4 linked regions of the Notamacropus eugenii genome follow. The protein of the gene in region 4 purifies or fractionates together with the protein of the main gene of each other region. This does not show direct contact. Links are inferred from orthologs where the notes say so. Each region holds a gene or a part of one and is shown on either strand. Other genes may lie near its edges.

Region 1 (7,851 bases), on a different chromosome or scaffold from region 4:
ACATTAAAGAGATTTGCAAAACTATGTGAAACAGTGCCAGTCTCATCATTAATATTCTTTTGTTTTGGAAAACAGTAATTTTCATTAAAATATTATTTATGTTAACATAATGACTTGTTATTTTTAAATGAATGAATTAATAATTTTTTTTAAATCAGTAGATACGATCCACACAAATCACAGCGTTACTCAGGGGATGGGATGGAATTTCAACACAAGCTATCTTTCCCTTGGTGCAGACTCCTTAGGTGTACATGTTACCAGTAAGCTTTTCTAGGACAGAGTCATGTCAAAGTGCATGTGGATTATGCCAATTTCATCATCCCTCTCCATGCTAGAAAGAGTTTGGTTACAGATTAATAATTTTTTTTCTTAAAAACCTTTTCTAGCAGACTGATACATGTATTATATAAGTGCCTACAGTATTCATGTTTTTCTTTGATGCTTTATGCAGATTTCGTCATTGGTTCTTTCACTTTCATAGGATGATAGATTCCAGAAGTAGACGAGATCTTCCAGGTCACTAAGTCCAAAGAAACTGGGCAAATTACACAACTTGTAGGTGTCTGGATTTGAGCCCAGTTCTTTTTGACTCCAAGTCCAGTACACTATCTATCCAAGGGTAGGAAATCTATAGTCTTGAGGCCACATGTGGCCCTCAAAGTCCTTGAGTGAGGCCCTTTGAATCCAAACTTCACAAAACAAATCCCCTTAATAAAAAGAATTTGTTCTGCAAAACCTGGACTCAATCAAAAGGCCACACCCAAGGACCCAGAAGGCCACAGGTGATCTGGAGGCTACAGATTCCCCACGTCTGCATACTGCCTTTCTTTCTTTCCTTTTAATCCTTCCTTTAGATCAACCTTCCTAAGATGAATTTGATTTGCTTGTGACTATTAGGGACAATAGCTCTTTGATAAGACCACCTGACAAATGGTAGAGAGGTTGTGATCAGCATTGGTGGAGGGGTCTTCTCATCAGGGAAATTATAGATCCTTAAAGTATTGGAATAAACATTCCTTACAATAAGCTTATCATCATTTTCTAACATTCCTTTTGCCTCTCTTCAATCCTCCCATTGCTCCCCTTCCTCCAGTTCTCTCAGCTGAGAAGCTTGCCTCCTATTTCACCAAGAAAGATTGAGACCATTCACAAAGAGCCCCCTCTTCTTCCTTCTTCATCTCCTATCACTCAGATGCCTTGCACTCCTATTTCCTCCTTCACCACTGTCTCACATGATGTGACCCTTCTATTTGCCAAGTCAAAGTCCTTTACACACAAGTGATCTCACTCCACCCTGTCTTTTCCAGCAGATCACTCCTCTGTCATCTCCACTCCCACTAATCCTCATTTTCTCTCCATCTACTGGTTTTTTCTCTACTGCCTATAAACACACCAGTAAGGGCAAACACAAACCTTCCCCAAAACCCTTTCCTCTCTGGTCCTCCCTCCTGGGTCTTCTAGATATTTTCTACAGTGCCCAAGAAAGAACTTTTTCTACAATGTCTCTTTACTCTGGAACTCACGCTACTCCCAGACTTCATATTCAAAATGGAACCCTCTGACTCTTGGACATTCGCTTCCCCTGGGCTCCACCCAGAACCTCCATCTTAAGGAGGTGGCCTGGGCCCATCAGGTATTCATTCTATTCCAAGTGGCACTCTTGAATCTCCCAAACATTTTTTTTTTGCACTTGATACCTCTTTTTCCTTTCCTTTTATATGTTTTCCTCCTTTAGATTGTGAGCTCTTTTGAGAAGCACGAATTCTTTTTATATCTCCATTGCTTAACACAGCCTGATGCACAGTAGGCACTTGACTGACTGACAATCAATACCTTCACTTTCGTTTCTCTCACTCTCCCAACTTTTTAAAATCTGATTCAACTAAAACTGCTTTCTCCAGATTTACCAATGATCCCTTAAAAGCATATCTAGTGACCTTTTCTCAGTCTCGATCCTTCTCGACCTCTTCTCCCTCTATACTGTTTCTGTTTGGCGATGTTATCAGCTTCTATGGATTTCACGATCTTTTCTAAGTTAAAGATTGTATTTATTCATAACTATTTATCTAGCCCTAATCTCTCTCCTGACCACCTTCCTCATATCTCCAACTGCCCTTCATAATCTCGGTCCCCTCTGACTTCTTCCACCTCAGTCCCCTCCACTTACTCTTTAACTTTTCCAGGTTTTCTTTTTTTACAACTTAGTAACCTTCCCTCCCCCCCTCCAATTCCCATTTACTCTTCAATGTTGCATCTGGAGCCATCTCCAGTCGTCCTAATCTATAGCTTGCCACTGGACCCAGAACTCACTGGAGAAGAGAATGAGTCTGGTGACTTTGCACAGCCCTCCCTCACTTAAAAACTTATTTGCAAGTCGAGACAGCACCTTCCTCATGTCACAACAGACAACAAACACACACAATGCTCCATCTGTCACCTTAAGGCATTTTCATTATTGTTTTCCACTCATGGAAGTCTCTCCCTCCCCAGCTACACCTCCAGACTGCCCTGCATTCAAGTTCCAGGTAAAATTCTACTTTCTACATCTGGTCCTTTGTCATGCTAGCGTCTTCCCTCTGAGGCTATCTCCAATTTATCTTTTATGTATCTTATTTAGACAAGATACATGTATCTTGTTTGGACATGATACATGTATCTCGCATATCTTGCATATCTTCCTCGCGAGACTGACAACTTTCTGAGAACTGTTTTTTGCCTTTTTTTAATCCCCAGCCCTTAGAACAGTGCCCAGCACAACAGAAGTCACTTAAATCCTGGTTCTACTTCGCGAAAAAGTAAGAGATTGGGTTTCTCTCCCCCTTCCCCCCCTTCCTTCCTTCCTTGGACCGTGGCAACTCACCTACCGAAGTGGATTCCGCGTTCAAATGGTGGCGGGGCCGCCTCTCTTATCTCTCTCGGTTCCGCACTTTCAAAGTTAAGTCAAGTCACCAGCCCGGAAAGATCCCGCTGGCTGAGCTCTGTCTGGGCACACTGCAGGCTTCAGAAGCTGTCCAGCGCGAGCCCCGCGGCGCCCGGAGATACTGATTCTCAGCAAAAAAGAAAAGAAAAGAAAAGAAAAAAAAGTCAGCGAAGGGAAAACCAGCACATTTTTTAAACTGGGAACTGAATGAGTCATTTCCCCTCCCCACCTTCTGAAAAAAAAAAGCTTAAAGGACCAGGACCTAATTGTCTGCTTGACCCTAAGGTGAAGTTCAAAACAAGGAAACGTCAATTTGAAAACCGTCTAAGGGAGCCCCACCCTGGTTCAGAACAGGTAACTCCAGAGGGCAGGTGGTTGATTGGGGTCTTTAATATGAGAAGACAGCCCACCCCTACCCAATTCCTTTGCAGAAGGGAGAGGTCCACCGTGCGGAACATTGCATATATTCTCACTTTCTTCGTTCGATTTTAGGTTTTTTTTTAATCCTTCCTTTTCCTCCTCTCCCCTTTAAAAATATTTGTTATATAGATGGCTCTCTGGGAAGGGTAGGGAGAGGCATACCAGTAGACATTTAGTGATGGAAAAAAAAAAGATGACTATAAAAAGAAAGACAAGAGAAAGAATTAAAGAAAGAGAAAGGGAAGAAGAGAAGGGGGGGAGGGAAGAGAGATCTAAGATTAGTAAAGTCGGGCCACCAGAAGAGCAATATGATAGGCCAGTTGCAAAATTTGCCACTCCAAAAATAAACACTTTTCCCCATCCCCATCCTCACTAAATTCCTGAAATTACTTTTCCCCTCAACTATCTGAACCCCAACAGTCTCAGCTCTATTGTGCTCCTCTAGCTCAGTAAAAAAAAAACTCTCAGAGAGCAAGGGCTGTGTTTTCTCTTTGCACCCCCAGAGCCCAGCATTTTACCTACATGCTGATAAATCCAGGATGAATTGAGAAGAAAATGATCAGAGACAAATTAAATTCATAATCCCTTGCCCGAGAACCTGGCTTAGTAAGGCAAGAGGATCTCATTTGCTCTTTTAAGACTATTTGAGACTCCTCACTAGGGTTTACAGATACGGTGGGGAACCTGATGTGGAGAGGGGGGTGAAGGCTTTGCCCAGAGTAATTGATTTTATTTTTGTTTTTTAGGGCTGTGATTTCTGCTGCCCTCAGCATGAAGAGGAAGAGTTTAGAGAACAGCTAGTCAATCTCCTTATTTTACAAGTAAGAAAACTGAGGCCCAGACAGAAGCTGTTGGCCCCCAAAAACTTCTCTAGCTATCAGCCACCTTGAGGAATCTGAACCAGTTACCCACCTCCTGGCTTCCATCCATCTCTTCCTGCAGGGACTTCAGTTACGTCTACCTCCCTTCCCCTCCCCTCCCCTCCCCTCCCCTCCCCTCCCCTCCCCTCCCCTCCCCTCCCCTCCCCTCCCCTCCCCTCCCCTCCCCTCCCTCCCCTCCGCTCCCTTCCCCAGCTTCTCCTTGATCCCCCCCACCCCCACATCTTCCTCTTCCTTAAATGGGCTTCTAGATTCACAGGGCCTTACCTCCACCTACTTGTCCCTGCTGTGAGACTAGCTTCCTAGGACCCTCACAGGACACATCATCATCTACCATGAGATTGGACAACACCAAGAAGTAGGAAGAAGAGTAAGCATTTATTAAGCATCTTCCATATGCCAGGCACTTTGCTAATCACTTAACAAATGTCTCATTTGAATCCTCACCACAGGTGCTCTTTTCATCCCCATTTTCCAGTTGAGGGAACTGAGGCAGACAGAGGTTAAGTGACTTCCCATAGTCACACAGCTAGAAAGTGTCTAAGGTAGGATTTGAACTCAGGTCTTCCTGACTCCAGGCCCAGAGCTCCACCTATATTGAACAATATTGAACCTACTTCCCCAAATAGATCTCTCTCCAATCACTGCTATTCTTTTTGGCCTCATTTCTCAAAGGCCAGAATACTCTCACCCCCTCATACTCTCCCCATTCCAGTGATTCTGACCCCATGGTTACTAATGTACAAATTCTGTTCCCCATCTCTAACTACCCGTTGGTTAAGAAATATCCCTAAGACCAGTAAAACCACATTATTTTCATATATGTATATGTATGGATACATACAACACATACATATATTTATATGTGTAAATATATATAAACATTCCTATATATGCTAACACATGTGCACATATATGATGTGCATATATACATATGCACACACATGCACGTGCGCACGCACACACACACACATACTACAAGCCTTCTTCCCATCCCACTCAACCCAAACCCTAACAGAATCCTGCTCCAGATGTATCAATCCTGTTCCACTGTACTCTCTGGAATACTTGCTCCATAATTAACAAATTTCCTTTCATGTTAAACCTCTTCCTTTCTCTCTCCTTCTATCTTCTGGCACTGACATTCCTGATAATGACATTCCTTCCACCACACATCTTCCTGGTACTGGCTGCATTGTCTGTTATACCTCCAACTAGGTAGTGTAGTAAATAAAACAGCTTGAGGGAAGGAAGACCTGAGTTCAAATTCTATCTCAGACACTATATTAGTTGTGTAATCCTCAGCTAGTCACTTAACCTCTATCTGCCTCAGTTTCCTCATCTTTTTTTCTTTATATTTAAATTTATTTATTTAAGTTTTCAACATTCATTTCCACAAAATTTTGGGTTCCAAATTTTCTCCCCATTTCTCCCCTCCCCCCACCCCAAAACACCGAGCATTCTAATTACCCCTATCACCAATCTGTCCTCCCTTCTAACATCCCTTCCTTCCCTTCTCCCCATCTTCTCTTTTGTCCTGAAGGGCAAGATAAATTTCTATACCCCATTGCCTGTATTCTTATTTCCTAGTTGCAAGAACAATACTCAACAGTTGTTCCTAAAACTTTGAGTTCCAACTTCTCTTCATCCCTCCCTCCCCACCCATTCCCTTTGGGAAGGCAAGCAATTCAATATAGGCCATATCTCTGTAGTTTTGCAAATGACTTCCATAATAGTTGTGTTGTGTAAGACTAACTATATTTCCCTCCATCCTATCCTGTCCCCTGTTTCTTCTGTTCTCTCTTTTGATCCTATCCCTCCCCAAGAGTGCTCCCTCCTCCCACTGCCCTCCCTTCCATTATCCCCCCCACCCTGCTTATCCCCTTCTCCCCCACTACCCTGTATTGTAAGATAGGTTTTCATACCAAAATGAGTGTGCATTTTATTCCTTCCTTTAGTTGAAGATGATGAGAGTAAGCTTCATGTTTTTTCTCTCACCTCCCCCCTTTTTCCCTCCACTGAAAAGTCTTTTACTTGCCTCTTTTATGAGAAATAATTTGCCCCATTCCATTTCTCCCTTTCTCCTCCCAATATATTTCTCTCTCACTGCTTAATTTTATTATTTTAAGATATGATCCCATCCTATTCAATTCACCCTGTGCTCTCTGTCTGTGTGTGTGTGTTGTGTGTGTGTGTGTGTATGTGTGTGTATAATCCCACCAACTACACAGATACTGAAAAAAGTTTCAAGAGTTGCAAATATTGTCTTTTCATGTAGGAATGTAAACAGTTCAGCTTTAGTAAAGTCCCTTATGACTTCTCTTTGCTATTTACCTTTCCATGCTTCTCTTGATTCTTGTGTTTAAAAGTCAAATTTTCTTTTCAGCTCTGGTCTTTTCATCAAGAATGTTTGAAAGTCCTTGATTTCACTGAAAGACCATTTTTTCCCCTGAAGTATTATTCTCAGTTTTGCTGAGTAGGTGATTCTTGGTTTTAGTCCTAGTTCCTTTCACTTCTGGAATATCATATTCCACACCCTTTGATCCCTCAATGTAGAAGCCACTAGATCTTGTGCTGTCCTGATTGTATTTCCACAATACTTGAATTGTTTCTTTCTAGCTGCTTGCAATATTTTCTCCTTGACCAGGGAACTCTGGAATTTGGCCACAATGTTCCTAGGAGTTTCTTTTATTGGATCTCTTTCAGGAGGTGATCAGTGGATTCTTTCAATATTTATTTTGCTCCCTGGTTCTAGAATCTCAGGGCAGTTTTCCTTGATAATTTCATGAAAGATGATGTCTAGGCTCTTTTTTTGATCATGGCTTTCAGGTAGTCCCATGATTTTTAAATTGTCTCTCCTGGATCTGTTTTCCAGGTCAGTTGTTTTTCCAATGAGATATTTCATATTATCTTCCATTTTTTCATTCTTTTGGTTTTGTTTTGTGATTTCTCGGTTTCTCATAAAGTCATTAACGTCCATCTGTTCCATTCTAATTTTGAAAGAACTATTTTCTTCAGTGAGCTTTTGAACCTCCTTTTCCATTTGGCTAATTCTGCTTTTGAAAGCATTCTTCTCCTCATTGGCTTTTTGAACCTCTTTTGCCAATTGAGTTAGCCTATTTTTCAAGGTGTTATTTTCTTCAGCATTTTTGGGGGTCTCCTTTAGCAGGATGTTGATCTGCTTTTCATGCTTTTCTTGCATCTCTCTCATTTCTCTTCCCAATTTTTCCTCCACCTCTCTAACTTGATTTTCAAAATCCTTTTTGAGCTCTTCCATGGCCTGAGCCCATTGAATATTTATTTTGGATGTTTGGGATATAGAAGCCTTGACTTTTATGTCTTTCCCTGATGGTAAGCATTGTTCTTCCTCGTCTGAAAGGATGGGAAAAGATATCTTCACCAAGAAAGTAACCTTCTGTAGTCTTATTTTTTTTCCCTTTTTTGGGCATTTTTCCCAACCAGTTACTTGGCTTTTGGGTCCTTTGTCAAGAGTTGGATATACTCTGGGAATATGTAAGATCTCAGTTCCTCCAAGGTGGTGCAATCAAGCTTGTACTCGTCTGGACACAGAAAGGGATTTTTGTGCCCAGAATCTTAGCAGTTACCTCTCCACAGCCACCTGGCCTCAAG
Region 2 (7,851 bases), on a different chromosome or scaffold from region 4:
GCAAGCAAAAGACTTTTTAGTGGAGGGAAAAAGAGGGGAGGTGAGAGAAAAACATGAAGTTTACTCTCATCACATTCGACTAAAGGAAGGAATAAAATGCACACTCATTTTGGTATGAAAACCTATCTTACAATACAGGAAAGTGGGGGTGAAGGGGATAAGCAGGGTAGGGGGGATGATGGAAGGGAGGGCAATGGGAGGAGGGAGCAATTTGAAGTCAACACTCTTGGGGAGGGACAGGATCAAAAGAGAGAATAGAAGCAGTGGGGGGCAGGATAGGATGGAGGGAAATATAGTTAATCTTACACAACACGACTATTATGGAAGTCATTTGCAAAACTACACAGATATGGCCTGTATTGAATTGCTTGCCTTCCCAAAGGGAATGGGTGGGGAGGGAGGGATGAAGAGAAGTTGGAACTCAAAGTTTTAGGAACAAATGTCGAGTTCTGTTCTTGCTACTAGGGAACAAGAAATACAGGTAATGGGGTATAGAAAGTTATCTGGCCCTACAGGACAAAAGAGAAGATAGGGACAAGGGAAGGGAGGGATGATAGAAGAGAGGGCAGATTGGTGATAGGGGCAATTAGAATGCTTGGTGTTTTGGGGTGGGGGGAGGGGACAAAAGGGGAGAAAATTTGACCCCCAAATTTTGTGAAAATGAATGTTAAAAGTTAAATAAATTTTAAAAATAAAAAAAAAAATCCAGCCTCAGACACTTACTAATTTTATGACCCTGGGTAAGTCACTTAATCTGTATTTGTTTCAATTTCCTCATCGGTAAAATGGGGTCAATATTAGCATCTCCCAGAGTTGTTGTGAAGATCAAATGAAATCATAACTGTAAAGTACTTAGCATGGTACCTGGCACATAGTAGGTGCTATATAATTATCTGTTATTATCATCATCATTATTATTACAATGCCTCACACTGCCTGTCTCAATACTTTATACATTAGAAATACAGACTCAAACCTTCAAGGACACTCCTTTCTTAAAATCTTTCTTTGATAATTTTTTGTTTATAAATATTGTTACTTCTATTTTTGAAAGTGCAGGCTCCAAGGGATTATTTCATTTATTGTATTTTTATCCCCAATACCTGGCACATAGTAGGCATTTATTAAATGCTTGTTGACTGCTTTATTGATTCCTACATCTCACTGTGGACATAGGGATAGGGATAATGATCAGACCTATTATTTCATTTGGTATGGGAAGCTTCAGGGTGAGGAAACTGAATCTCAATGCAGATCAGCACCTTATCTCCAACTTAGAATCTTGGAAATACTGGTACAGGCTCACACAGACAGTGTGCGTTGGAGGAGAGACTCCCTGATGAAATCCTATTTTCCTCAGCATCTCTGGAAAAGGCGTAAGTGCCCATGGTTACCCCAGGCACTCAGAAGTTCATTTGATAGCTCTGTGCCCTAGTTTCTCCAACTGGAAGAGAATGATATAAGTGGGAAAGAACAAGTTGTCTATGATCCTGTGAACCAAATAGGGCCAATGACTCTAATTTGATTTATAATAACTTGCCATAACTTTGATTGTTGAGTAAAATACTCTAAGTGAAAACTGCACTAGAAATTCTATTGCTAATGCCACATTTTATTAAAATAGCCAACAGAACTTTAAACAATTATGCATCTGTCATAAATAAACGGTGCAAAAATAAGACCAAGACAGTACGCAGAAATAAAACAGCAATAACTCACTTTCGAAAAGCAAAATGTACTTTATATGTAAGAGAAGAAAATGTCGGTTATATCAAAACATCTGGTTGATTTTTACCTAAAGCCTAGACGGAGACTATCTATCGGGGTTGTGACGTAAAACATTTAAGAACTAGTTTGGACACTGCCTTCCGTCCACTTCCCCCCTCTCTCCCCCTCAAATCCCCACCCCACCCCAATCTTCCCCAGAAGATCGGGGCTGTCCAATCAGCACGAAACCTCTACCTTCCCCACCCCACACCCATTCCTACTAACACACAATTTCTCCTCTCGGTTGATTCGCCTACTAAAGTCAGGGAAATGTCTTGAGACAAGTGTTGCCCACAGTAGGATTCAGCAGTTTTCTTCCCAAAGTCAACTAGGCTAGATACCCCGGTGTGAACAGCTGACTCAGTCCATCCTGGGAGGCACACCTCTGCCATCTACACTTCTGCATTTTAGCAATATAGTCTCATAGATGTATTTCTATATCCGTAGAAGAAGAAACTGAGACAGGGGCACAGAGACTGACAGAGGCAGATTAGCAAGTCGTTCTCATAATCAAGCACTGACTCTGGGACGAGAGAAGCTGGCATTCTCAGATTCAGTCCCTCCGGGAAGGTCACGTTCACGGCTGGAGGGCTCAACAAAGCCTTTCCACCCCGACCAGAACAGACTACGGGCCGCCCCTCCAGTGCAACAGACCAAGACCACAACCCTGCCCACGGAGTTCTGCTTCCAGGAAAGAGGCGGGCAGCCGTCTAGGTAGCAGGACGGGGCTGCACCTCGAGGGCTGTCAGGACCGTCCCGTCTGGTGACCGGCGGCCTCAGTCCCGGTCCAGATAGGGAAGGCCCCAGCGGCGCAGGTTTTTGCCCAGAAATTCGCCATTAACGAATCAACCAGGCAGGCTGAAACCGCGCAGTCGCAACTTGGGGCAAAGTTAGTTTCTTTTTCGGGGCAACACAAAGCTCTCCCCAGCCCAGAGCGAGAAGAAAGTGCTTGGAGGCCACCCCCGAGTTCCGCCCGAATAAACTCTGGGATTGCAACAGTAGCAACGGAGGGCGTCAAGCCCTCCCAAAAGAAGAAGGGTCCCTGGGGTCCGGAGAGGGCCCTGCCAAGGCCGACTCTGGCGCACGCCAGCCCGGGGGTGGCCGTCCTCCCGACCCGCTCACCTGGCTCTTCCAAGGGTCCCGCAGCTACGTGACTGCTGGTGACAACAGGGTGCGCTTGGCGGGGCAGGGCTGGCCCGCCCGCAGAGCGATCTCCCAGTCCGGGAGCTACCGACTGTCAGCAGGGGCTGCCGGGGTGGGGATTGGCGACAGGGCGGAGGACAAGGAGTAGGGAAGCCGAGGGATGCGCCACGCTTCCGTGATTCTGACTGCTCAGTCTGCCCCTCTCCGGCCTTTATATAGCCGGAGCCCCACGTCACCGCCCCTGAAAACTCTCCGGCAAGCTTGCACAGATACATAGCAGAAGCGGAAACACTGTTTCTAGTGTTTTGGCTAAAGTCTTGTCTGACGCGGAATTTCTTATCTTCGTGGTCCGTATCCTGGAAACAACACTAGCACCACACAGATAAGGGTAAAATAAAAAAAAAGTAGTAGCCTTCTTTTAGGAAAGTATGTTATTTATATCAGAACATCCGGATGATTTTTGTCCAATTAAATGCTGTAAACCTTCGTGCCATGTGCTCCTTTGGTCATCTAATGAAGAATGTGGATCCCTTCTCAGAATAATGTTTTTAAATAATAATAGAAGGCAATGCCAAGTTAAAGGTTAGTGAAAATCAAGATGTATTCTTCTCCTATCCAAGTTTGTGGACTGTTACAAAACTATTCGTAGACCCATTAAAGGTCCACGAAAAATCTCTGTTCTAAAGGTTGTTGGATGAATGCTACAGGGGATCTCTTTACAAACCTCACAGATTCTGTCACAAAGACTTTTACTAACTTTACTGGTTATAACAATAACAAAGAAGGATTTGGGAACTATGTTGGACCATGTGTATCTTTTACTCCCCTGTCCCTGCTTTGGGATGTCCAAGCACCACCCCTCTCATCTCCCCACCTCAGTTTCTCTTTTCCCTAAATGCCTCAGATCAGTGGGAAACTGACTTTGCATATGTTACTAAAGAGCAGCAGAATTCAGTTGTTGGTTTGTTTCGTTGCTTCCCCCCCTCCCCCCGAAATTGTCAGAAGTTGTAGTAAAATATTACAGAAATATGAATTTCTCTAATAACGTAATGATAATGTATGTTATAGCTATTTTACATAATGGTGAGAATGTTAACCTTAAAGACTGGTCCCTGTTTCAAGGGAAAGTTTGTGGTCATTAAAATAACTGCAATTTCCCAATGGCAATGTAGCCTATTCTCTTCTCTCGTTCAGTCCTGGGCTAGCTCATGGCTCATTTGTAGTGTCTATTCAAGATTTACGTGTATGTGTATGTTTGTGTGTGTTGTGTATTGTGTGTGCCTAATAATGGAAGTAGACTCCAGGTAGACTCTAAATATCTGGTGGATACAATAAAAACAGTGGTGTGAGACAAAAAATTACAGGACTTTTCTTTCATTTTTACTGAAATTTTTATTTTTTGTTACTACCCTCTCAGCCAAAAGCGCTATTTGCCATAGATGCCCATATTTTTTCAGTTTAGCGCCTACTTCATAAATGAGCCATGTACTTACTATCCTTGTAGCTGGGAAAACCTATATCCCTAAAGCTGAGCTGTCCATCCTTGACTTCTGGTAAAGTTCTTCAGGGTATACTTGTCTGCTTTCTGCAGACCAACAGTTCAGATTTAGTATTTAAATGCAATTCACTCCATACCACATGTCATTTCATTCCCATTGGAGGAGGCCATACTGCTCTGTTATGAACAATGATATGGACTTAGGTCCATATCCTGCCTTACTAGCACTTTGAATCAGTTTTGAGTATGTGGACAGATGTCTATTCATCAACATCTGATAACGTTAGGGCCTGGATCTGTGCTTCTGTTGCTGCAGAAAATTACTGGATGAACTTTATAGACCATCCTTCCAATTGTATAGTGTGCTGGCCTCTAATGGGAACAAAATAGTATGTGGTATAGATCAAATTGCTTTAATACTGCAACACTAAACTGTTGCAGAAAGCAGAAGTGGGATCTTAAGAACCTTGCCCAGTGTCTGGAATAGACAGCTAAGTTTTAGGGATGTGGCTTTTCCCAACTACAAGAATATCACATGACTTATCTATGAAGTAGGTGCTGAATGAAATCATTATGAAATCATAAGGACGTTTATGGAAGATAGAGCTTTTTTTTTTTTTTTAAGTAGATAAGGGAACAACAGATCCTAGGTTTTCAGCTTAGGGAGTAATAAGAGAGAGGAAAGCACACAGTGCTTGTTTTAAAATCCTTATTATAGTTCAGTTTTATTTGAAAGGATAGGGAAGTTAGACTACAATAGAGTAAAAACAAATGAAAATTTCAATAAAAATGAGAAGAGAAGTTCTGTGCTCCCCCTCCCTCCCCCTCCACTGTTTTTATTGTTTCCACCATATATTTAGAGTTTAATTAGATTCCACTTCCATTATTAGGCCAAGATAAATCTTATCAGTAGCATATAGAATAAGAGTATCTTGATATATACTCTTTTCCAGTAATGTTTTAAAAACCATCTTGGCTCTCTGAAAAAATCTGAATGCATAGGATTTAAAATTACTCAGCAAATATAAATATTAATTTTTTCTAAGATCCTTTCACAAGTGCCTTGCCTAGCAATGACTATTAAGAACTTGAAAATTAATTTTACCTTAATGCTACTTAAGGACATGGAAAGAGTGCTGGATTTGGGCTCAGAGGACCTGGGTCTGAATCCAAGCTCTGCTTCTCTTTGTGACCTTGGACACATTCACCCTCTTTGGATTTCAGTTTCATCAGTAGTAAAATGGGAGCCTCTCGCTGAGGTCCTCCATGGCTCTCAATCTATCGTTTTAAAGTTTTTTCTAGGATTAAATCCACGAACTTGTCTGTCGCCATATTTCTAGACACCCCAATCACCATTTCCTGACTCACCACAAAGAAATTATTTGTGTCACAGAATATTAGGGTTGGAAAAGAGTCCTTAGTCCAATCTCTTATTTCTACAGGTGAACAAACTGAGACCAGGAAGGGTGTTTAATGGGATGGTTGTCATCTTTTATAGCATACACACAGCCATAAACCCATCCACACCCACACAGTGTTAGCTCCTGAAAAAGAAGATGGTGTGTGTGTGCGTGTGTGTATATAGATATATAGATATATATATTTTTTTGGCATCACTCCATATCAAGATATAATATTGTTTAGTCCAATTCTTTGTGAACCCATGGACTATTGCATGCCAATACTGTCTATGTGGTTTTCTTGACAAAATAGTTTGTCATTTCCTTCTCCAGTGGACTGAAGCAGAGGTTAAATGACTTGCCCAAGGTCACACAGCTAGTCGATGTCTGAGACTGAACTCAGGTATTTCTGACTCTAGACCCAGTACTCTATCCACTGAGCCACCTAGCTGCCTCAATATCAGAACTGTGCTAAGTACTTTACAAATATAACACTTAATCCTCACAATGACCCTGGGAAGTAGGTGCTATTTTTAGCCCCACTTTACAGATGAGGAAACTGAGGTGAAGTGACTTTTCCTGGGGGATCACACAGAGCAAGTAAGACCTTCTACTCAGTTCAGTCTTTGTGTACACCTCCCCCTTCACTGGTATATCTCAGTAAGACTGGCCAATGGGAACCCCATCCTTAGAGTACATGTAGCTTGCTTCACTTGCTGCCAGCCCCTTGAGGTTTTGGGGATGGTATTGGTGAGCTACTTATGGAAGTCTATAAATGTGGAAGGGAGAGGCCCTGTCCCAATACATACCATGTCATGGTTTCCTATCCATTTGGTTGGTTGGTTGCTGTCCATTCTGGAAGAGGACCAAAATGGTATCACTATGATAGAGTCAAGTTTCAGCATCTCTGCCTGATCAGATCAATATGAACTCTGAATGCTCTACCACAGGTCAGGCACAAATAGTCTTTCTGAATACTCTAAATTTGCACATCTCTTGTTTCTTTTGAGCTACTTCAATCCTGCTTTGCTCATAGAGCACAGCACCTTTTCTGATGTGAGCATGCCATGTTGAGCAGTCCTGTGCCAGTGTCTCCCATGTGACAATCAATTCCAAAGTTCTTAAGCGAGACCTTGAGAGTGTCCTTGTATCATTTCTTCTGACCACCATGTGAATGACTGCCCTGTGTGAGTTCTCCATAAAATAGTCTTTCTGGCAAGTGTACATTTTGCATTTGAGCAACTATCCACTTACTACACTGTTGAAGGTGAAGACTTTTAATTGGTTGTTGAGCTGAAATTGAGAATGCATACAAAGGCCTTGGAGAGTGGAGACAGCAGGCTGCTATCAGACACAGGTGTGCCTAGGTGGCATTTCTTACCTCTCCCCTTTACTAGTTTAAGGAAATTACCTCCCATTACAGAAGAGAAGAGCTATCTTCTTGAAGACAGACCTAACTTTGGATGCTACTACCCACCCCATCTATCCAGACTCTCCACCCTGGTTACAGATGTTGTACCATGGTTGCTCTGTGAGAGGCCTGCCTTTTTTGAAGGGGGCTCTGCTCATTTCTCCTCTCACCTTCCAAAAATTGTTCCTAGGACTTCTAGGTCTATGTACTTGAAAAGAATATCAATTGTAGACTCTTACATTAACCATTTATTCTTTTTTGTATCATTTTTCAGTTGCATCTGATGCTTTGTGATCCTATTTGGGGTTTTCTTGGCAAAGATAATGGAGTGGTTTGCCATTTCCTTCTCCAGTTCATTTTGCAGATGAGGAAACTGAGGCAAACAAGGTAAAATGACTTGTCTAGGATCACACAGCTAGTAAGACTCTGAGGCCAAATTTGGACTCAAGAAGATGAGTCTTCTTCCAGGCCCAGCACTCTATCCACTGCTCTGTTTAGCTGTACCTAACTAAAATATTATAACATTAAAATATATTAACTAAAATATTATCAAATAATATTAAATATTAAAATATATCAGCAATACAATAATAATAAAACATAAAAGCAGATTCACTTTGTAAGTAAACTTT
Region 3 (6,892 bases), on a different chromosome or scaffold from region 4:
TATTTGACCCAATTGATGCAGGCATGGAAGACCTCGGACTCACAGCGCACGTTGAGATCGTCCCGACTGATAAGTGTAACCAGCTGGCAGTGGGATAGGTTAAAGAATTCCTCCTGCTTTGCTACCTGGTAGAGGGGATGAGAGGTAGTGGGAGCAAGGAGGTTCTTGACTGCAGTCCAAAGCGATGCCCCCCCCCCCCCCCCCATCCTCCTGGGATTGGACTACCACCATCAGGAGCTGTGTACTTCCTGCTTTCAGTGGGGCCACCCCTGAGTGGAGACACAGGGAAACAGAATGCTCCCAGCTCCTCCCCAAAGCTCAGGCAGTACTATTAAACAAATGAACAAGTACAGGTAGCAGCCAGACTCCATCAAATTATGCTTTTTCACTCTGACTCTATACACCTCAACCAGAGGTGTGATGTTTTGATAGGCACAGGACTAGAGTTATCTCCAGAAAGTAAATCACTCACTACCACTACCACCTGATAACTCCCAGGCCACCAAACATATACACACTTACCTCCCCAAAGTGCATATAGATGTACTCCCGGGCACGCTGATGGAGTTCAGCACAGCCAATTTGCTCAGCAAAGTTGGCAATGCCAATGGCATTGCTGGGATCCAGCTGCTGCACCAAAAAGTCACTGCAGGCCCGAACTACGCTGTCAATCTGGTACATGACAGCCCCATTCATCAAATGCAGCACACATTTCTCCCCCATGGAGATGGAGGCAGTGTAGGCAAACTCTATGAGTCGTTCCATCACCTTGGGGTGTATGCCCTCAATAGAGACCACTTCCATGCCCTGCTCCCGCAACCCATTGGTGAACATGGCCTTGAAAACTGGGCTGGAGGAGGCGAGTACAACCTTGTGAGCCATAAACTGGGCAGCAGGTGTATTTTCGTATTTGACCTGCAGAGTCACATCACATAGCTGCTGGCTGAGCCGAAGCTCATTCATGATGCCAAAGGCCTGTTTGGTGTGGTCCTCTAAGGTATAGCTGAAGGTCCGGTTGCCATGCTGGGAGGGTGTCACCTCCGCCTTGCACTCCGTGGCATACATCACCGCATAGCCGGCCCCCCCAGGGCGTTTGGACAGAAGGGGGAGAGAATGGGCACAGGGAACACCCCTGCTATGCCCAGACACTGGCTTCATCAGGCTCTAGAAAAACATTGCCACCGCCTGGAATCACACACCTGGGAGTGAGGGTGAGGGGATGGTGATCAGGCCCTAGGTGCCAGTCCTGGTAGGGAGAACCCACTCCTCCATGGGCTTGCTTCTCTCTCCTGGGGAAACTTCTCTCCTTTGCTAAGAAGACTATCCCAGGGGAGAGCAGCCAGCCTCCACCCACCCTAGGTGCTTAGAATGCCAACCTAAAAATGAGCCCTATCAATATCAGCTGGCACTCCAAGTAGCAATCCTAGCCTGGGTGGAGCCTCTTTCAAATGAGACAACCTGTGTAAAGTACTTTGCAAAACTTAAAAGGGCTATGTAAATAGATAATAAGTATATTCCCCAGCCAGACTCCTGGTTGAGGCTTCTCTGGTCTGGATCTGAGCCTTGATGGGATCGTAGACCCCAGAGGTCAACCTCATTTTAAAGATAAGGAAGCTGAGGATATGAGAAGTTAATGCACAAGTGGTAAGAGATAGAATTCAAAACCAGTTCCTGAGACTCCAAACTCTGGCTCCAAGTGCAAAAAGCAGATGGTCCCAAACCAGTGTTACAACTACCCTAAATATCTGAGAGATACCTTTCTGTCTAAATAGTGGACACCCACATCCCTACCAGGCACCCCCCACATCCCTACCAGGCGCCCCCCACATTACCTAACTCGTATGTGACACCCCTGCCTTCCACTCCTGTCCTGCTATTTCGGGGCTGGTGGCTCCCTCTGCGCCCCTGCTCTGGGTCATCCCTGGCCCAGCCCCGGCTGGAGGAAAGCCCCAGGTTCCAGCCTGGCGGGACAGCTTCCTAGCTATGTGACGTCGGGGCTCGCGCTCCTTCCCTTCCCGAACCTCCCCCCACACCCTCCCCGGGCCGCCGGGCCGCCCAAAGGGGACAAAGCCGGGGCAGCCGCACGAATGTCACCGGTGGGGCCCGGCCTGCCGGCCCGAGGCCCGAGGCTGGGGCGGCGCAATGGCTGCGCACCTACTTCCTGCCCCGGCCCGGCCCGCCCGCAACTGGCTCTGCAGGCCCTGGGGTAGCCCGGGATAGGATCTGGGCCCCTCCAGCGCCGGGCCCTGAGCCCCAGAACCCGCCCTCCGAAGGAGGGAACCCGGCGCGGGCGGGGAAGGCCGGGCCGACGTGGGGAAACAAAGCGGCGCCGGGCCGGGAGGGCGCCGGGCCGGGCCTGCCCGCGGTAAGGGTGCGCCTGTCTCCAGACAGCCTCGACCCGCGCCGCCAGGCGGGCCCCGGGCTGCAAAGAGGATCCGGGGCCCGCCACCCCGAACCCCTCACAGCGGCCTTCCCCCCGGCCGGGCGCCAGAGCCCGAACCCGAGCAGGCACCGAGGTCGCGGGCTCTTGAAACGCCGTACCCGCTGCCTGGTCCCGGCTCGGGGCAGGGCCCCTGCCGGCCGCGGCCTCCCGCAGCCCCGTGGGCGCGAGCTCCGGCGGCGGCGGTAGCGGCCGCGTTACTCACCCAGCCATGGCCGCACTCCTGCTCCTCCTCCGCCGCCTCCGCCTCCCGGGCTCGGGCGCCTCCATCGCGGCGCGCGGGGGGGATGGGGGTGGGGGGAGCGGTGGAAGGGAGATGGCGGGGAGGGGGGGAGGAGAAGGGGCGGGGCGAGGGGAGGATAAAGTCACCGTGACTAAGCAGACCGCGCGCCCCGGCCTTGTCAGAATAAGAGTCCCTTGGTCCGCCACCCGGGCTTCGGCCAACGGGGTCGCCCATAGCCGGGTCCTCCAGCCAGCGCAAGGGGAAAAGGGGACACGCTTGGTTTTGCTCCCCCAGAAAGAGTTAGGAGGCTAGGTTAGTAGGGGAGGGGCCCTGCTCCCGCCTCTTTCCCCTCCCCCGTCCGAGGGTCGTCCCTGGGTAACCCAAGCGCGAAGGAAAGCGTGGAAACGGAGCTACTTCGTGTGACTGGCGACAGAGGCGGAGGCTGGAGGGCCTCCCCTGGGCTACCTTCCCCGACCCCGGCGCTGGGGGGAGTCTGAGCGCCCTTGGGGGCTAGCCTGTCCCGGAAGCCCAGGGCGTGATGCGACCTCGGCTGGGGCTTCATGGGCCCCTGGCCCCAGGACTCACCACAAGCTCTCGGGATGTCCGACTTTGCCTCTTGGACCGACCCCAGTGGCCCAGCTTGTCCGTGACTCACCAGCCCTGCCCCAGAAGCAGCCCTTGCGGCTGGCAAACCTTTCGCTGCTTTCGATGCTTCGCCCGCCCCTCCTTCCAGGCTAGCGCGGCTACACTCAACACCTCACTTGACCCCCTCTCCTCCGGCCACCTGAAGCCAGGCCTTTGCCTTTCCTAGGCCGGGCGTAGAGAGTGATTGAGGATCCCAAAGCACGTGCTGTTCACCACCGCCGAGGCACCTGCCCGCACTCACTGAGGCCTGAACTTTTGGAGAAAAACGGCAGTTCCACCCCGCCCCCATCCCCGAAACACACCTAGAGGGAGGGAGAAAAAGGAGAGGGCGACTCCTCTCCCAGCCCTGCGGGTGACTCCGGCTCCTACCCAGACGGGCGTGACACGGGTGTCCTAGACCAGGGGTCAGAGTCCCCAGGAGCTGGGTGCCTCTCTACTCTTGGAAGCCTCCCTCTGCTTCGGTGATAAGAAGTGTATCAAAGACCTGGGAATCCAAGGATCCACAGGATGCTGGTGGCTGGGAAGGGAAAGGATGGGTGTAATAGAAAGGACCAACTCTGGCCAGGGCTGCGGCAGGATCATTGTAAATCCGAGGGTCTCAATCTAAGCGGATTTAGAGGAAGATCCCGGGGTTCCAAGGCATTAAAAGGGATCGCCTGGGATTAGGGGAAGGAGTTTCAAGTAACTCAAGGCCACAGACTTGGACAGGACTTGGAATAACTAAAACTTGGAATCTAAGGAGAGGTTGAGACCTGAGCCAAGATGCAACTGGAATTCTCCCTTCCCCTTACCCCCCAACTCGCCCGCCCATCTCTGGGTTTCCAGCCTCCTTAACAAAGCTACCTAGGTCCTCTGCAGTTCCGGGGGCTACCGGGAGGTGGAGGCGCGCAGACGCTAGTAGGCTAGGGCAGCGAAGTGTAGATCAGATTTAGAAACTGAGACTCTAAGGTCAGAGCTGTGCAATCTGCATCTCAGAAGGGTAGGGGACTGACTGATCGTGGTAGAGCTCTTAGGTGTTATTTTATGGGAAAAATAAGAGCAACACTTGGATTCGGGTTAGCGTATGCACAGATCAGCCAGGCATGAGATGGGGGCAGCACAAAGATTTTCCCACAAGCCTTGACCAGCAGAGAGATTGAGTCTTTGGCAAGGGCTCTTCCCTTTTATCGCTTATGTAGGGTGGCTAACTTGGAGTTCCAAGCGAAGGAAGTTAGAACCTAACCTGACACTGACGACTCTGGGTTTTTCTAATGAGGACTTCAAAATTTCAGGCCAGGTTCTCCTCGAGATCTAGGTTTCCGAGGTGTGTCCGTTCCCCGATACTCAGGCTTTCTAATACAAATTACTTTATTTTTCAAACAACAATAAAAACAACCTGTAATCTAAAAATAGTGCAGAAGGAGAGGACTGGGTCCTATAGAGGGATTGGGGAATAAAGTGTCAGTCTGTGACTTTCTGCACCTAAGTCTTAACTGGAGTGGGCGTGGCGTTGCTTGTGGAGACGCTCGTGTCGACTTCATGTCGGTTCGAGGAACGTTCCGACTTGCTGGTGCTGCACTCCAGTATAGGCGGTAGCCGGAGGCGTACGCTGGCCACACCTTCACCACCACCTGGCCCTGGGCGCAGGGGCCTGTAGCAGCAGCAGCAGCAGCAGCACGGGTAACAGCAGAAAAGGCGCAGGAGCGCACGGCGTAGGTCCCGGCTAGTAAGCGTGTAGATAATGGGATTGAGCAGCGAGTTGGCCATGGCTAGGCCCAGGAAGTAATCTGCCTGCAGGAGTACTGGGCAGGCTCGAGCTGGGCACGCTACATCCAGCAGCAAAAGCAAGAAGAGTGGTCCCCAACACAAGATGAACGCCAGCAGTACCACGGTCACCGTGCGCAACAGCGCCAAAGACTTGGGCAGGCGGCGGGACCCTCCGGACGCAGCCCGAAGTTGCAACTTCTTTGCGTTGGCACGCACCAGATAATAGATGCGGGCATAGAGCGCAAAAATAGCCACAAGGATGACTAGGAAGGCAAGCACACAGAAAAGCACGTAGGACTTGGCATAGAGGGGAAGCACTGTGGAGCACTGGGACAGGCGGCCGAGGCAGTTCCAGCCGAGGCCAGGAAGAAGCCCGAGCAGCAGGGACGCCAGCCACGCAGCTCCCGCCAGCAGCAGGGTGCGTCCCCGCCGGTGTGTGGGCGCCGGCCTACGGCTTGTCATGGTCAAGTGTCGCTCCAGCGCTATCGCCAGCAAGCTGAGCACCGAGGCAGCCAGTGTCACGAAAACACCGCCCTCGCGGGCAAACCAGAGAGCGGGCGACAGGTGCAAGGTGCGGGCCCCAGACAACAGGATGTTGATCGTGTAGGCGGCGCCGGCTAGCAAGTCGGAGAGGGTCAGGCTTCCCAGAAGCAGGTACATGGGCGCATGGAACTTCTTGTGCCGCCAGAGGACTAGCAGAACCGCCAGATTCTCCAGGACGATGAGGCCACACACTGCCAGGAAGACTGCAGCACTTGCGCGCAAGCCGCTGCCGGGATCATAGCGAGCCCCGTTCAGTTTGCCGGTGTAGTTGTAGTGCAGAGCGATCACCTCACTCCCTAGCACAACCTGGAGCGCCGGAGGCGGCTCCATGGTGGCCTAATTCCCCACCTCCTCCTCCTCGTGGTTCTTTGCCTCTTGAGGCGCTTCACCGATGCGTGGCTACATCACCATACTGGGCATTGGGAAAGAAATCGTTCACAGGCCTGAGCCCTGGATCTTGGTCCCAGCCCTGCTGGAGAAGGAAGAGGACCAAGTCAGTGGCAGAGTTCTCCCCAGAGCCAGCCTCTAGAGATTCCAGCGCCCCAGGGTCCTCCTTCCCCCCCCTCCCCCAAACCTTCCCTTCTCCTCAGATTCCTGAGCCCTGGGAGTTTTGGCCACTTCCTCCGGAAAGCCTCTGGAGTAGCAGGAGCGAGAGACAGCTTCTCCCCCTTTCCCCATTCTGGGAACCCAGCCAGCCTAGAAAAAAGACCGAATGAACTGCTGTGCCCCGCAGGAATAAGGTCCGAGATGCCCTTGGGGCCATTGTGCCCCTCTCTAGAGCAGAAACCGGCTCAGCTGTCCCTAGAGCCAGTCTGGAGTGAGGGGGCTGAAGGGGTGAGTGGGCTTAGCCCTTGGCAAAGACCTCGCAGGCAGCTCCAGAGTGATGAGGAACAGCGGGGGAGGTTCCAGGGAGGGGATGAGTTGTGACCTCCGGGCCAGGAACCAGGCAGGCACCGGAGCTGGGCCAAACCAGTGGGGCGGAGGCAGATTGTCCCAGAACTCCTAGACACACGCACAGACACAAAAGCCACACACACAAGTAGAGTTGCACAGGCAGGCACAGATCCACAGACATAAAGCAATTACACATACACAAATAAGTAGACACGCAAATTCACAGAGACTTAGCGTTATACATGTGAACAACTACAAATTCACAGATACACAAGTCTTCCAATCACTGAATTTCAGAGTTGGAAAGCACGTTAGAGACCATTTAATTCAATCCTTAACTGAAAAAGGACTTCCCCACCCCCTCTCTCCATCATCCCATCCAGTCTCCAGATTTAAAACAC
Region 4 (6,968 bases):
CTGGGTATGATAGAATGCTGGAACACTTGCATGGAAATTATCTCCTCTCTTCTCCTATTCTCTTTCTCTTTCTGTCCTTCCTTCTTCCTTTCTCCTTTCTACTCTCCCTCTTCTCCTTTTCCTTCCCTTGACTACCTTCTTTCCTTTTTTTTTTAAAGCAAAAGTAACTGCCTTTGACTAAGCTGAGAAGGGATCTGTTATGGAGGATGGTGCAAGACAAGGATCCCTGAACTCTGGATAACAAATTTTGGGTCCTGGTGCTACCATATAAAGAGGCAACTGATGGATCAGTGGATAAAGCACTGGGCCTGGAGTCAAGATGATCTGAAATCAAATCTGGCCTTAGACACTTACTAGTTGTGTGACCTTAGTCAAGTCATTTAACCTCTGTTTGCCTTAATCCACTGAAGAAGGAAATGGCAAACTGCTCCAGTATCTTTGCCAAGAAAACCCCATGGCCAGCTCTGGCTAGCGATGAGATGGTCCACAGGATCATGAAGAGTCAGGCATGATTCAACAATAAGAATACTACCGTATAAAACCCCTCTAGTCATTTGATCTTAGGCAAAAAATTTAAACCTGTAAAATGAGCATCATAACACTCACAAAACCTGAGAGTTAGCACGGCACAGTGGATAGAGAGAAGGCCTCTAAGTCCAAAGATCGAGGTTCAAGTCCCATCTTTTACACAAATGGGTCATGAGATCCTGGGCAAGTCATTTCATCCCTGTCCCAGGCAATTCTCTAATGTGCACATCTATATAGGTATAGGATGTTTCCTTATTGATATTATCATAAACCAATAAAATCAAAGCTTTGGTAAAAAAAATGCTTGTAATTTCGACTTCATAGGGTTGTGGTGAGGAAAAGACTTTGTATGCTACAAGGCACTACAGAAATGGAAGTGATAGGTCCCTGTGACAGTCAAGGAGTCTAGATTCTGTACGTTTTATTTATTCACTCTCTTTATAAGAATATCACCCTTTATCAACATCTCGGGTTAAATATTTTGTATTGACTTATCCTTGTCCCCATCATATCTCTAAAATAGAATGTGAACTCCTTCAAAGCAGAGACTGTTTAGTTTTTTTATCCACAGCCTGCAGTACAGTGCCTTTCCTATAGTAGGTACTTAATAAATATTTATTGAATTTAATGTTCTAAAGTAGGAATAATTTGGTGACCCTAAGAGGGGGCATTGTACTTAATGCTAGACCATAGGGTGGGTGGAGCGATTTGAGTGAGTTTGAGGTAGTCTTTTTTTCCAGCAGGTCCTTTCAGGTATAGGACTGGCTAGTACTCCTGACTCTCCACCAGGAATGAGAGCTTCTCTCCTAAGCAACCGACTCCAAAGCTGTTTGTATTTAACCTCCAAATACCCAGGAAGAGTCCTGTCCACTTGGAATTGAGAAGGCCTGGTGTACTTTAACATTTAGAGTTGCATAATCATGGGTCATGACTGTCCAGTCAAGAGCCTCAGAGGCAAACAAACCAACAGTGATGTGACCCATCATTTCAGCCAGATTCCTGATTATGGTGAAGAACTTGCGGAACTTTCTGGTGTGGAATAACCTTAGGGAAATTGGGGTTTTTGGTAGGATTTTGTCAGGACATTAGTTTGTTGTTTATAATGAAATCCAGGTGCTGGATAAGCTCCTTGAGGTCAGGGATTTTCACTTTTTCCTTGTTTCCCTTGCACATAGTCAGGTTTATTTGATAAATGACAGTTGATTGACTAGGCAGGTAACATGTCCAAGGTTTCTCCAACAGGCAGGCTAGAGAAGATTAGCAAATCTGAGGAACCTACTCTGATCCAGGTTCTTTCTGCCTCTTTGGCTCTTCTCTCCAAATGAGACCACCCTACCACCAAGACCCAAATCAAAACCCAGAACATGGTGGGATAGGCACACCTAGATCAAACAGAAGGAATCTCACTAGAGCCACTTGGGAAGTGAAGTGTGAAATGCACTAACCCCCCTCACCTCATGACTGTTCTTTCCCAGGGTAGAAAGAGGTCCTACCTACCTCATTGTGCCACCGGATGACATTTCCAAATCCCCCAGTTCCAAGCCGTTCTTTCATTTCCCAGGACCCACAAGTCTGCATTTGAAGAGAAGGTGGCCAGCTCATTCTGAAGTTACTGCTGTGGGAATTCAGAGGAGGATCAGAGGAAGAAAAACAAGACCCCTTGGAGAGATGGAATGGGACAGAGGATTCTTGCCTTTGGGTGTGAGTGAGAAGGAAAAAGTGTGTTTTTATTTTCTTTTAAAAAAGAAACTCTTCTCTAACAAGTTCTTCAACACCTCTCCTACCTCTGTTACTCAAAGAGATCCCTTGATTGCCAAAGGAATCCCCCTAAGGTGCCATTTAAGACTCCCTTCCTCTACTTTCCCTGGATAAAAAATTTGAAAGTCAATTTTTTACTTCCTGGGAAATCACATACGCCTTTATATGGTATGGAGAGCCTATGAATGAATCCTCCTTCCCCACCATGCCAAACCACGCACTTCAAATGGATCAGTGGGGGAACCTACACCAGCTGTATTTTCTCTCTTTAGGCTTTACAGCAATCTCCCGGATTTTAACACTCACCAACCAGGAACAAAACAGAGTGGGTGGGCAAAGCAAACTTCCAGAACTCAGTAGAAATTTGTTTCCAAACCTCCAGGAAAGGACAAACAAGATTGATTATCTCCCTGGATGTCAGGAGTAGTGACCAAGGAGAGGGACAAGAAAGAGGTCACAGCTGGTCCCACCTTAAGCCACCTGTCTCAGCTCAGGGTCCCGGGGGTTGGGGGGTGGGGAGAAGTAAGGGGTGAACTCACCTGCCTGGTGGTTGGGGAAGGGGGAGGCGGCCCTTGCCAGGGCAGGGAACAGGGAGGGAGGCGGAGACCACCTGTAGGGACTTAGGTCGGTGGGTGCCCCCCCAGACCACATCAGGGTTCAGGGACCTGGATTAGACAGCCTGCCTGCTAGCTCTAGACTTCCTCAAACACTTCCTGCTCTGATGTCAGCGGGCCACATGGCGGGGGACGGGCAGGCTCTTAAAGGGGCCACAGGGACCCGAGGAAGCCTTCAGCTCCGGGCTTCTAGTGTTCTAGACTGGACATCCTATGCATCCCTCCAACCCACCTGACTCTTCCAACAGTGGACCCCAGCTCCCAGGATTTCTCAGGAAGATGTGTATTGTTCTAAAAATTAAAACTAAAAACCCAAAATCCGAGGGTGTATATTGGGGGGACAAAGGGGAAGGACGGTCCTTTCTCAGTATACTCTGGTACCAAATCCCAGCACCCCCAAGCAGGGAATGAATGCAACAAGCCCCAGGCCCTTTCTTAGACAAATGAAACTGACTAGCAGCAGGTTCTGGGAATGGAGGCACTGATGGGGATTTCCTCAGCCTTCCCACAGCTGGGAGGGCTCTTTCTGTTTCCTCTGACACTGCATGAGGTGGAATTTTTTCTGGGTCCCTGCTTAGGGTGGATTGGCTGATGATTTACAAGAATTTGCCATTACCACAGTGTCATCCCCCTTAGAAGTCAGTTATCCCTCCCTTCTTGAGGCTCTCTTCCTTTTATCTGGAAGGATCAGTCACAGTTAAGCCCCATTCCAAAGGAAATTGCCACCGTGCCAAAACTAAGAAAGAAAGATAAATTCAAAAGAGTCCTGGAGGAAAAGTCAGAGAAGATAGGTCTGATTGAGTCAGTTCCTTTACTCTTCTGCAATAGCTGGATGGCTTGAACAAATCAGTTCCCCTCTCTGAGGTTCAGTGATCTATTTCTTCTTTTAAAAAATGACAGGGTTGATCTAAGGGGTGTTTAAAGTAAGTTCCTTCTTGCTCTTACAAAAACCTGGTAGTGTTGCATTAAAAGCCAGTGTTTGAAGCCCAAGGAGTATGAGGAAATTCAAAAAGAAATTTAACCTTGATAAAGGGAGAAGCAGCTTGCTATAGAGGAAAAACCTTCTGTCTAAAATTTCTCAGGATTTAGAACTACCAATATGACTGTGGACAACTTACTTGAGCCTCAGTTTCCTCACTCATGCAATGAGAGCATTGAGCTAGATAATTTCATCCATCTATCCATCTATCCATCCATCCATCCAATGTACAAAGCATTGTGCTTAGGTAGGTGCTAGAGACACAAAGACAAAATGGGAAACAGTTCTTTCCCTCAGTTTTCCCAACATCCACATTGGTGAATGGTACATTGTTTTAGGCAGACTCTAGACAAGTTTCAATTTGTCATGGGAATTTTTCATTTCCTATTTATTTGGGACTGAGAACCATGCCCCCAGCAAATTTTGGTTAACTGAAAGTCTATATTAATTCTCGTGACCAAAACCTGTCCCATGGGATATGGAAATTTACTTAGAACCTTGTTATTGTTCAGTCATATTTGACTTGTAAATTGGGTTTTCTTGACAAAGATACTGGAGTGGTTTGCCACTTCCTTCTCTAGTGCGTCCATATTTTATAGATGAGGAACAGAGGCAAATAGGAGGTTAGTGACTTGCCCAGGGTCACTCAGCTAATAAGTAACTGAGGCCAAATTTGAACTCACAGTTTTTTGACTCCAGATCAAGTGCTGGAGCCACTGAGCTGCCTAGTTAGCTGCTTAGCCCTTAGATCCTTAAACATTCCTTAAATAAGAACCCAGAGAAAGATTCTCAACTGTCTCTGAGTTCTTGGCCATGTAAATCTTCCTCTTTAATCAGTTTATTTGTAAATCCTCTAAATGTAGTTTAATCTGTATTCTGACTTAGTTTACTTATAGAGTTTGTTTGAGGAGGTTTGTTCCCTTAGAGGATATACGAAATTATAAATGTTTAACTAAGTGTGTTGAACTTTTATGACATTGAAGGGAGCATGGCTCTATTTTCTCTTTAGCTTTTATGACCTAAATGTAATGTACACTATTACAATCTGAAAATGAATTATTCCTCAGTCACTCTGACATAATTTTGCCTATAAGAAGCCTTGTCAGAATCCTAACGATTGTTCAGGTTTTCTCTGAGGCCTGATCTAGGCTTGAGCATCATCAGAAAACCTAGGTTTTTAGCTCTATATTTTCTGCTTTGTGGTAAATATATATTTGGCAGCAGTTAACCCACCACATGAACTTAGACAGATGTTTCTCCTGTAGCATCATTCCCTATTCCCTGACCATCTTTTCACCCAATAGCCTCTCTTCTTTGAGTATACTATATTTTCCTTCTCTCTCCCTTCTACCCTTCTTCAGTTCTAGAAGCATGACCATGTCAACTTAGCCTTCTTCTTGCAAAGGGTACAGTATTCTAGTCCCCTGAGTCCCTACCCACCATCTCTATAACTTTACTGATCAAAGTGCCGCTTCCTGGCTACACTGCCCCCAGTGTGTTGTCTTTCCCTATTGGTCTGAATTAGAGTGTGACCTCCTTGAAGGCAGGGACTCTCTACTTTTGTCTTTCTATCCCTATGCACCTGAGTGGTACAGTGGATCCGTAGATGGAGCTCTGGGCCTGAAGTCATGAAGACCTGGGGTTACATCTGGCCTCAGACACTTACTAGCTATGTGACCCTGGGCAAATCCTGTAACCCTGTTTACCTCAGTTTCTTCATCTGTAAAATGAGCTGGAGAAGGAAATGGCAAACCACTCCAGTATCTTTGCCAAGAAAAACCCAAATAGTCATAAAGAGTCAGACACAACTGAAAAACAACTTAGGAGCTGTGTGATCCTGGGCAAGTCACTGGTCTGCCTACCTCAATTTACTCAGCTGTAAAATGGGAGTCATAATACCATCACCTCCGAGGATTATTGTGACGATCAAATGAGCTAACATTTGTAAAGTGTTTGGCACAGTAGTAATGGGAGCTTGATGAACACTTGTCCCACTTCTCTCTCCCAGAGTTTGTCCAGCACCTTCCCCTCCCCCTCCCCACTCCTCCTTAAACTGGTAGGTTTTGTAGGTAGAGTCAAAGACTTGGGGTTTAGGGTTTAGAAGATCTTAGTTTTAAATCCAACTTCAGACACTGATGAATTCTGCGCAGGTCACTTAACTGTTTAGACTCAGTTTCCTCAATGGGGATAATAACAGCACGCACCTCACAAGGTTGTTGTTTACAAAGCATCTTACAAATATTATCCCATTTTATCCTCACAACAATTCTAGGAGGTAAGTGCTATTTTTATACCCATTTTAGAGATAAGGACATTTAGAGAAACACAAAACATCTGGGTTGCACAGCTAGTAAATGTCTAAGGTGAGATTTGAACTCAAGTATTAGCTGTTGTACCACCCGACTGCCTAATTTATATGTAAAGAAATTGCAAATCTTAGGTGCTATATAAATATTAATGATACCAGGTATCATTAATAAATGTTTCTCTCTCCCCCGCCCACTCATTCAAAGAGCTCACACTCTGTTGGGAGGGATATATTTAATCAGATATGCAAAGAAAGGGACTAGATATGTGATTTCATTGGTACAGAGAACTGGTGGACAAGAAAACTTCTTCTACAATAAAGTTTAGCCCCTTCTCTGCGTTTTCCAGTTTTAAAGAGATGTGTAGGGCACCAATCTGTTCACAGTTCTGCAGCAGTATGTGTCAGAGGCAAGGCATAGATAAATAAATACCAACTATTTTGGACCGGGAGAGAACACTATCAACTGGGATAGGAAATGACCCATGAGTTGGTGTTCACAGAAGTTAGAGAGTCTAAAAAGTACCTGTACTTTTTAGAGATTTGGAGAGAGCGAATTCCAGGCAATGGGGGGATGGCCCGTAAAGATCACAGAGATGGGAAATGGAATATTATGCTGGGGAAGCAGGTGATTTGATTGAAACCCAAGAGAACTTGAGAGGAAGTAATGTGTAATAAACCTAGAAAAGTAAACTGAAACCAGGATGTATGAACGTCAAAGGAATTTGTATTTTGTTGGAAAAGCAATTCCTTCTTAAATAGGGAAGTGATGTGCTCCAACCTG

Evidence for each region.
Region 1: the proteins of IKBKB (region 4) and CASP8 purify together in Homo sapiens (affinity purification with western blotting; 3 studies listed by BioGRID and IntAct, with this or other methods). This does not show direct contact. The link is inferred for Notamacropus eugenii from reciprocal best matches to the Homo sapiens genes IKBKB and CASP8.
Region 2: the proteins of IKBKB (region 4) and RIPK1 fractionate together in Homo sapiens (co-fractionation; 3 studies listed by BioGRID, with this or other methods). This does not show direct contact. The link is inferred for Notamacropus eugenii from reciprocal best matches to the Homo sapiens genes IKBKB and RIPK1.
Region 3: the proteins of IKBKB (region 4) and KEAP1 purify together in Homo sapiens (affinity purification with western blotting; 7 studies listed by BioGRID and IntAct, with this or other methods). This does not show direct contact. The link is inferred for Notamacropus eugenii from reciprocal best matches to the Homo sapiens genes IKBKB and KEAP1.

What each region holds. Positions count from the first base shown.
Region 1 is NC_092877.1:297,410,426-297,418,276, reverse strand, and holds the start of CASP8 (caspase-8), read right to left. Parts: upstream 3,001-7,851; 5' UTR 2,864-3,000; exon of another isoform or gene 2,737-2,863; intron 2,529-2,736; exon of another isoform or gene 1,266-2,528; intron 1-1,265. UniProt on the Homo sapiens protein: Thiol protease that plays a key role in programmed cell death by acting as a molecular switch for apoptosis, necroptosis and pyroptosis, and is required to prevent tissue damage during embryonic development and adulthood.
Region 2 is NC_092875.1:172,236,832-172,244,682, reverse strand, and holds the start of RIPK1 (receptor-interacting serine/threonine-protein kinase 1), read right to left. Parts: upstream 3,015-7,851; 5' UTR 2,890-3,014; intron 1-2,889. UniProt on the Homo sapiens protein: Serine-threonine kinase which is a key regulator of TNF-mediated apoptosis, necroptosis and inflammatory pathways.
Region 3 is NC_092875.1:79,705,436-79,712,327, reverse strand, and holds the start of KEAP1 (kelch-like ECH-associated protein 1), read right to left. Parts: upstream 3,014-6,892; 5' UTR 2,898-3,013; coding exon 2,646-2,897; intron 1,200-2,645; exon of another isoform or gene 1,165-1,199; coding exon 523-1,164; intron 126-522; coding exon 1-125. Other genes in the region: S1PR5 (sphingosine 1-phosphate receptor 5), read right to left, coding at 4,770-5,927. UniProt on the Homo sapiens protein: Substrate-specific adapter of a BCR (BTB-CUL3-RBX1) E3 ubiquitin ligase complex that regulates the response to oxidative stress by targeting NFE2L2/NRF2 for ubiquitination.
Region 4 is NC_092872.1:618,298,692-618,305,659, forward strand, and holds the start of IKBKB (inhibitor of nuclear factor kappa-B kinase subunit beta), read right to left. Parts: upstream 3,021-6,968; 5' UTR 2,826-3,020; intron 2,144-2,825; 5' UTR 2,131-2,143; coding exon 2,026-2,130; intron 1-2,025.